2 linked regions of the Drosophila melanogaster genome follow. The protein of the gene in region 1 purifies or fractionates together with the protein of each later gene. This does not show direct contact. Each region holds a gene or a part of one and is shown in the gene's direction. Other genes may lie near its edges. The genes, in order: PPO2 and yellow-f.

Region 1 (4,903 bases):
AGAAGCTGCCCGCTCTGGGCCTGGTGGTCTTCGGAGCCCTGGTGACCATCTTGGGGGCGGCGGTGCTCCTGCCGGGTCTAATGGGCGGCGACTGCCGATCGGACATTGTGATGGGTTACTGCCGGCAGGAGTTTCAGAACACCACCTCCTCGAACTAAGTTAACGGAACGGAAGTCAGCCCACGATGTGGGGCGCGCGGGTTGGGATCGCATTTTTATGGTTTGGGTTTTTGGGTTGAAACTTCTGATTTGACCTTCGGTTAATACAGCTGCACCACGTCGCATCGAAAGAAACTTGTACCTGAGTCCCAGACGTTCAAAGTATCTGCGTAAGTAAGTAGTAGGCACAGTGTTGAATTGGATTAGTGGATAGCGGATAGCGGATGTGTGATACGGGCGAACCTCAGTACAAAGGCCAGGCATTCTCTCCGATCGAGTAACCCATGTATATTTGCACCGGATAGTCGTTTAAAGTGTACATTTCGTTGGATCCCCGTTGTTGATGTCGATATTGTTGAAAGTAGTGAAAGTTCCTCGATATATAAGTGTGTGTGTACTCCGTACTCTGTACTTTGAAGCCATCAAGTTGAGCAAGCGATTTGAATTGAATTGAATCGAAAGAAACGAGCAAAGGCAAACTAAACCGAACTAGAACTAGATGTTATCCGTAGCTTTAGCGTAGTCTGAAACTATTTGGGCACCAATATACACATGCAATCCTTAGAGACAACCGACTCCCCAAGTTGAGAAGTGAATCAAAATCGAAAACGAAATCGAACAAGTATTATATGTATGTACCGAGAACTATTTGTAACTATGTATGCCCCGACGTTACCGGATCGTATTCCCCAGTTTTATATGTATGTATATGTATACAAGGGTAGATAAAAATGCGCTTGAACCGAACTAAAATCAAACTACAATATATCCCCATCAACACATCGATTTGAACAACAGTTTTGAGTTGTTAACGGCACTGAATTCTGTTTTGAATTGCATATGTACACCGAACACGATCGAATATTTATATATACAGAAACATAGATATATTTTTGTACAACTCTTGGTTTATACTGCACGATATTATGTAAATACATGTGTATGCATTTTTGGATGTGATTAAAGTCTTTACACTCACACAAAAGCCATCACCTCTTACTTTCTCTTCGGGCTGAGAGATCGGAACCAAGCTGAAGACCCCACAACTCTATATTCTAAGAGCTTAAACACTACATATCATGGCCAAGGAACACGGGACATGCCCAGGGCTTTTCTGAGATACATTTTACAAGATCTAAACAACTAACCAACTGAACCTATCGCTTTTACACAACGAATACGAGAACGGAAACGGAAACAGCAGCATACAATTTCCACAGACTTCCTGTATATACACGCTATATATATGTAGATCCGCTTGTCGTACGATATTGCTCATCTCTTCACTCGCCAAATATCTCGTTGTATCTCTCTTTTTAGCGCTATGCTAAATAAATATATGTATTGTATATCAAAGCAGTAGTAGGGAATTAGGGACGAATTGATCGATTATAGCCGAATTGTAATAACTATTATTGCCGTATTATGCATGTAGCTACATATATATACATACTATTATATTAAATTGTTTAGATGTGATGCTATCTGACCGGAGGATCGTGTGCGTAGAGAAGTTTTGATTTACAACGCAGGCATATCCCAGAGATAACAAAATCCGATTTCATTCCAATAGTATATATGTATAGATAAGCTAAAGCAAAACCAAATGAAATACTCTTGAAATAATAAAACTGCATTTTAGAAATATGCTAAAACAACACTGCGGTTTCCATACTATATCCTTATCGCCGCAATTTGTCGACAATTTCAATTCTCAGGCGTTCTTGTGGTTTTCAAAACCGATACTAGTGCCTTCGAAGTTTTGTATAAAATGTGCAGTTCTTTCGGTGAATAGTCACAGTCGTGAAGTTCCCAGACTTCCAGTCACATTCCCCATTTAGTTTGCTCCGCGATCCAGCAGGTCCTCCCTGACATCCCATTGAAAATGGCCGACAAGAAGAATCTCCTCCTGCTTTTCGACCATCCCACCGAGCCAGTGTTCATGGACAAGGGCAAGAGGGTGACCGTGTTCGATGTGCCCGACTCCTTCCTGACCGACCGCTACCGACCCATCAGCAACGAGGTGCAGAGCCGCGTCGGCGACAAGGTGGAGCAGCGCGTTCCAGTCCGGGAGATCTCCATTCCCGATCTGCGGATCCCCATGTCCCTGGGCCGGGACGAGCAGTTCTCGCTGTTCCTGCCCAAGCACCGCAGGATCGCCGGCCGCCTGATCGATATATTCATGAACATGCGCTCCGTGGACGACCTGCAGAGCGTGGCGGTGTACGCCAGGGATCGGGTCAACCCGGTGCTCTTCAACTACGCCTTGTCGGTGGCGCTGCTCCATCGTCCGGACACCCAGGGCCTGGATCTGCCATCCTTCTCGCAGACTTTCCCCGACCGCTTCATCGACTCGCAGGTGATCCGCAAGATGCGGGAGGAGTCTTTTGTGGTGCAGCCCGGTTCCCGGATGCCCATCACCATTCCCAGGGACTACACCGCCTCCGATCTGGATCCCGAGCACCGGCTGTGGTACTTCCGCGAGGATCTGGGCATCAACCTTCACCACTGGCATTGGCATCTGGTCTACCCCTTCGAGGCCTCCGACCGCAGCATAGTGGCCAAGGATCGTCGTGGCGAGCTCTTCTACTACATGCACCAGCAGGTGATCGCCCGCTACAATGCGGAGCGGTTCAGCAACAACCTGGCCAGGGTTCTGCCCTTCAACAACCTGAGGGATCCCATTGCCGAGGGCTACTTCCCCAAGATGGACTCTCTGGTAGCCAGCCGCGCGTGGCCACCGCGCTTCGAGAGCACCAGGTTGAGCGATCTCAACCGGGAGTCCGACCAGCTGAATGTGGAGATTGGAGATCTGGAGCGTTGGCGTGATCGCATCTACGAGGCCATTCACCAAGGATTTGTCATGGATGTGAGTTGTTGGTGGGTTTTCCATTAACTAAATAACATGCCATATTCCCTTTCAGGAGCGTGGCAACCGGGTGCCATTGGATGAGGCGACGGGCATTGATACCCTCGGCAACATGATTGAATCATCCATTCTGTCGCCCAACCGAGTGCTGGTAATAAGTCCTTACCCTTAGTAAATTATTCTAGGGATTAATCCTATTGCTCCCCTAGTATGGTGACCTGCACAACAACGGACACACCTTCATCTCGTACGCCCACGATCCGACCAGCAAGCACCTGGAGTCCTTTGGCGTGATGGGTGATGTGTCCACGGCCATGCGCGACCCGGTCTTCTACAAGTGGCACTCGTACATCGACCGCATCTTCCAGGAGCACAAGTCGCGCCTGCCCGCCTATACCGAGAACCAACTAAACTACCCGGGCGTCTCGATCGCGGGCATCCAGGTGGACACCAATGGAGGTCGTCCCAATAATCTGACCACCTTCTGGCAGCAGTCGGACGTGGACATGTCCCGTGGCTTCGACTTCCTGCCGCGAGGTAATGTCTTCGCCAGGTTCACCCACCTGCAGCATCTGCCCTTCACCTATACCATCAGTTTGAACAACGATAGTGGTGCCCAGCGTTTCGGCTACGTGCGCATCTTCATGGCGCCGAAGAACGACGAGCGTGGCCAGCCCATGCTGATGCGAGATCAGCGCTCCATGATGATCGAGCTGGACAAGTTCGTGACTTCGCTGAACCCGGGACCCAACACCATCCGCCGCCGCTCCACGGAGTCGAGCGTGACCATTCCGTTCGAGCGCACCTTCCGCAACCTGGATGCCAATCGTCCGGCGGCCGGCACTCCGGAGGAGCTGGAGTTCAACTTCTGCGGCTGCGGCTGGCCCAACCACATGCTGGTGCCAAAGGGTCTGCCCGAGGGACTGCAGTGCGTGCTGTTCATCATGGTGTCGAACTATGAGAACGACAGGGTATGTTAGCTGGCTAGTAAATCAAGGATATTTTTGACAATTATCTCCACCTCCAGATTGACCAGCAATTGGTGGGTCGGTGCAGCGATGCCGCTTCCTACTGTGGCGTCCGTGACCGTCTTTACCCGGATCGCCAGTCCATGGGATTCCCCTTCGACAGGTTGCCCCGCAGCGGAGTCGACCGCCTGGTTAACTTCCTCACGCCCAACATGAGCATCGTGGACGTGAACATCCGCCACGAGAACCGCACCGTGCAGCGCCCAAACTAGACGATCCGCACCTGATTCGCTTTCCCGATTCGCCCTGACCCGATTCCATGACCTCGCCCACTTCTAGATATACAACTCTTAGCAATCTATTGCATCTTTATTGAGCCGCTTAATAAACAAGACATCATGGCATTCCACAATCCCACTTTTGTTCTCAATTATTGTGGCTCGGCCTCCGGGCGAGAATCTCTCGCTGATTAGGCTTATCAGCCGCCCGGGAGAAGCTTTAAATGCCAGCTCCACGGCCGGAGCACCTCAGTTCGAGCAGATCCGGTGTTGAGTGCGAAAGTGAAACCGATTCCCGAGGAGATGGGCCTGCTGCTGCTTCTGGTGCTGATAGCGGGCATTGGCGTAAGCACTGTACCGATTAAATAATCTATGGGTCCACAAAGATCCCACAAAAAGATGTGGTCTTTAGATAACTTTAAATCATAATTTTGCGTGTTTGAAATATGTTTCATTTAGATGCGTGTCAGTTTCTATATAGTTTGAGGATACTTAGAAGACCTAGACTAAACTAAGCCTGTAATAGCAATAATATTGTAAGTGAATTTGCTGCTTTTAATTGATTGTCATTTATTTTAGTGCGCAACTGCAGCAGCCAACATTGACCTGGAGGCCAAGACGTTTGTGAAT
Region 2 (4,273 bases), on another chromosome or scaffold:
ACTTTTACAATCGCGGAGATGGCCATCTAAGCTCGGGCGGAAGGAAAGACAGGCCCAGCTTTTCAGGTTAGTACTCATAATATGATATTACTAGTTCTCATTCAGCAATAGCAATCTCGCGAGCCTTGTTAGATAGATTTATTGGTATTTACTTATGTACTATTTTTTTATTGTTCAACTAGCTCCGGTTGTCTTTCCTGGAAAGTATTCTCGTCGAAAGCGTAAGATTATGACCTCCCGCGATACACCGGTAGTGGTCAGCTCCCGCGCCGACAGCGACGACCCCAACGCCTCCTACATTCCGTACAATAACGTGCCCATGGGAGCCACTCACTTCCGCGGCCGCCTCTTTGTCACGATGCCTCGTCGACGGGTGGGCATCCCATCCACCTTGAATTACATCGATCTGGCCGAGGACGGATCGAATCGCAGCCCCAAGCTGCGGGCCTATCCCAACTTTGCGCTTAATCAGTTCAACGCGAGTGCGGAGAATCTGGTGTCCGTCTACAGAACCTCCGTGGATGCATGCCAGCGTCTCTGGTTTATCGACACGGGAATGCTGGAGTATCCAAGTGAGTTGGCATGTATTGACATGTAATATAAAAGATCAGGATCGATCCGTATTAATCTAATTTGGTGACCAAGAATATAAAAAACTCAATCATGATTCTCATATCCAGATAACCGCCAACAGATCCGCCGTCCCAGCATTTGGGTAGTTGACTTGGCCACGGATCAGGTGCTGAAGCGCTTCGATGTTCCGGAGAGTATAGCTGAGACGGGTCGCGGATTGGCCAGCATCACCGTGGATGTGAAGGCGGGTCAGTGTGGCGATGCCTACGCCTATATTCCGGATCTGGTGTACCGGCGCCTGTACGTCTATCACCTGCGAAACGATAGAATCTGGTCCTTCGAGCACAACTACTTCAACTTCGATCCGCTGTCCGGGGATCTCAGCATTGGCGGCCAGACCTTCCGCTGGGACGATGGCATCTTCTCAATAACTTTGGGGGCCCAGAAACTGGATGGGAGCCGCGATGCCTACTTCCATCCCATGGCCAGTACGAATGAGTTTGTGGTCTCCAACCGGGTTCTGCAGCAGGAATCCAACGCCGCACGTTCCGATCATGGGAACGATTTCCGGGTACTCGGAAGCCGTGGTCCGTCCACCCAGTCTACGATGCACGCTTACGATCCTGGGACTGGGGTGATCTTCTTCGATGAGATCCAGCGCAACGGAGTGGGCTGCTGGAAGACCAGCAAGCCCATCTCGGCGGAAAACTATGGCTCTGTGGATTCCAATGCCGAGGATATGATTTATCCCAGCGACTTGTCGGTAAGCAAATGGTTTTGGATAAAAAAGTTGAAGAAAAAAAGTTATACATCTCATCTTACTATTGCAGATTGACGAGGATGGCACCATTTGGGTCATGTCCAACTCCATGCCCATCTTCATCTACTCCACACTGGACACGAGTATATACAATTTCCGGATTTGGAAGCAGAAGGCTTCACTGGCCAAGAGGGGCACAGTTTGTGAGTGATTCGTGTGGAATTCCTGTTGAATTTGTTACTTAATTAAAAATACATACATAAGTAAGAATGACGAAATTTTCGAATAAATAGTTAGCTTTACAAATATACTCTTCAGATTATCAACAAATCTTAAAAGTTGAATAAAGAGACATGGAAAATAAGAGCTTGGGAATCCCAGTGACTGCTCTTATCACTTTACATTCTGAGCTCATTTTTGAGTCGCAGAGCACGTTTAACTCAGTTGAACCCAAGCTGAGGAGTCAGTCAGTCACAAGTGGGTTTTCAGCCAGGAAAGGCGAACGACCGGAATTTTATAAAATGTTATCGCTGGACGTTCTGCTCCTGTGCGCAATCTCAGGGTTCCAATTGCTAATCTCTGCAGATGGAGATCCCATGATTGAGGTCTTCAAGTGGAAGCAGTTGGACTTTTACAATCGCGGCGATGGCTATAAGGATTTGTGGAACAGGATCTGCATTCCAGGTAACTCCAAAAATATCCAATTGAAATATGTTCAATTTCAAACATCAGCAAATGTCGGTGAATCACTAAGTTTTTCCACAAAACATTATGAAATGGTTGTAATATGAATATTATTTTAATCACCATTTTATCGTCACTTTTATAACGAATAATATGTATATATATCACAATTATTCGTTCGACAAAGATTCGCATTTCTACAACTCCCGCAAGTGCTTAGGCTCCTCATCCTCAGGATCCTTCATCCAATACAACAACGTGCCCCAAGGAGTAACCCACTTTCGAGGACGCCTCTTTGTCACCGTGCCACGGCGACAGCCGGGCATTCCGTCCACCTTAAACTACATCGATCTGGCCAAGGATGGGTGGAGTCAGAGTCCCCATCTACGGGCCTATCCCAACTTGGCGGTGAATCAGTATAATGCGAGCGAGCAGAACCTAGTGTCTGTCTATAGAACCTCAGTGGATGTCTGTGGGCGTCTCTGGTTCGTCGACACCGGAATGCTGGAGTTTCCCAGTGAGTATAATCATTTGCTTTATAGGCAAGGTGATCCAGGTTAAAATAATATTATATAACCATCAGATAATCGCCAGCAGATTCGACATCCTAGCATTTGGGTGATCGATTTGGCTAACGATCGCTTATTGAAACGATTTGAGATTCCGCAGAGCATAGTGGAGATCGGACGTGGACTAGCCAGCATCACAATCGATGTGGGCGCTCGGAGGTGCAACGATGCCTATGCCTACATTCCGGATTTGGTCAATCGCAGACTGCACGTCTATCACCTGCGAAGCGATAGAATTTGGTCCTTCGAGCACAGCTTCTTTAACTTTGATCCCCTTTCTGATAATCTCAACATTGGTGGGCAGACCTTCCGCTGGGACGACGGGATTTTCTCGGCGACCTTGGGATCATATAAGCCCGATGGCAGCAGGGATGTCTTCTTCCATCCTATGGCCAGCACGAATGAGTTTGTGGTTAGCAACAGGGTCTTGCAGCAGGAATTCAATGCAGCACGTTCTGATCATGGAGACGACTTCCATCTTCTGGGAACTCGTGGTCCGTCCACCCAGTCCACAATGCATAAATACGATCCGCGGACCGGGGTGATTTTCTTTGCCGAGGTCCAGAAGAGTGGAGTGGGCTGCTGGAAAACCAGCAAGCCGTTCTCAACGGAAAACCATGGCTCCGTTTATTCCAATTCATCGGAGATGATTTATCCCAGCGATTTGACCGTAAGCTCATCCCTTTCTATTTGTAACACGAAAACGAAGGTTAAGTGCGTTGTTGTTTTAGATCGACGAGGAGGGATACATTTGGGTGATGTCCAACTCCATGCCCATCTTTGTGTACTCCAAGCTGGATGTGGAGAAGTACAATTTCCGAATCTGGAGGCAGTCGACATTGCTGGCCAAGAGGGGAACAGTTTGTGAGTGATTTGCGTGGAATTGCTTTAATGAATTTTTCGCATAAGTAATATGTTTATCGAAATAACACACGGAAACTTATTAATAAAATAAATCAAAAAGCATTTACATATGTATCGTTTAAAATTGCCTAAATTTGAGTACTCATTTTTATCACATCTTATATGTTACGACAGATGCGTATGTCTTTTCGCACGAAACAAATGAAAACATGAAAGAAAACAACATCAATGAACAAAATCAGAGGCACTCCAATATTGCATAAGGATACTAAGTTGCACAGTTGTGTGTGTAAGGGTTACGCGTGTATATGTTAACCTAAAATACTTGAATTTCATGTTGTAAATTTCTCATAACTTTTCCGCATCTAAACAAATTCGAGGTGTAAATTTGGTAGCCCTTCAAAGTGTCAGCTATACATATGGTGTATATAGATCTATATATATATATATATATATATCTATTCAATTTGTATATATATGTACGAGTTTATATAAAGTTTTGCAAAAAATATATAGGTTGCTTTTGTATATGTTCCTCAACGCTACACCTAAGTCCTTTAAGTAGTTTCGATCATAGTTAATATATGTAGTGTGTAGTACGTAATATAGCGAAATGTTTCTACCAGTTCTAGTTGACTATATAGTGGCTGCGTTCATTGACCTTTTCGCGAAGATGGAATGATTACTGGCCCGGAGCTATTCGAAATTGCCTCGCGTATAGCAGCTTATTACAGTTGAGAGTTATTTGTGGTTATATGGAATCGTTCGTTATAGCTAGTGACTACTGCACTAAGTAATCCTTGTAGCCGCGCAGCGACTTCAG

Evidence for each region.
Region 2: the proteins of PPO2 (region 1) and yellow-f purify together in Drosophila melanogaster (affinity purification with mass spectrometry, with the first as the bait; one large-scale study listed by BioGRID). This does not show direct contact.

The regions. Positions count from the first base shown.
Region 1 is NT_033778.4:9,041,761-9,046,663, reverse strand, and holds PPO2 (prophenoloxidase 2), read left to right. Parts: upstream 1-1,954; 5' UTR 1,955-2,043; coding exon 2,044-3,027; intron 3,028-3,082; coding exon 3,083-3,178; intron 3,179-3,236; coding exon 3,237-3,998; intron 3,999-4,054; coding exon 4,055-4,267; 3' UTR 4,268-4,403; downstream 4,404-4,903. Other genes in the region: CG13743 (uncharacterized protein), read left to right, coding at 1-158; Ance-4, read left to right, coding at 4,577-4,618, 4,853-4,903. UniProt on the Drosophila melanogaster protein: This is a copper-containing oxidase that functions in the formation of pigments such as melanins and other polyphenolic compounds.
Region 2 is NT_033777.3:12,990,727-12,994,999, reverse strand, and holds yellow-f (yellow-f), read left to right. Parts: upstream 1-1,798; 5' UTR 1,799-1,854; coding exon 1,855-2,017; intron 2,018-2,204; coding exon 2,205-2,534; intron 2,535-2,600; coding exon 2,601-3,256; intron 3,257-3,317; coding exon 3,318-3,458; 3' UTR 3,459-3,551; downstream 3,552-4,273. Other genes in the region: yellow-f2, read left to right, coding at 1-66, 183-572, 681-1,336, 1,404-1,544; CG31342 (uncharacterized protein), read right to left, coding at 4,232-4,273. UniProt on the Drosophila melanogaster protein: Tautomerization of L-dopachrome with decarboxylation to give 5,6-dihydroxyindole (DHI). Also catalyzes the tautomerization of the methyl ester of L-dopachrome and dopamine chrome. May play a role in melanization reactions during late pupal and adult stages.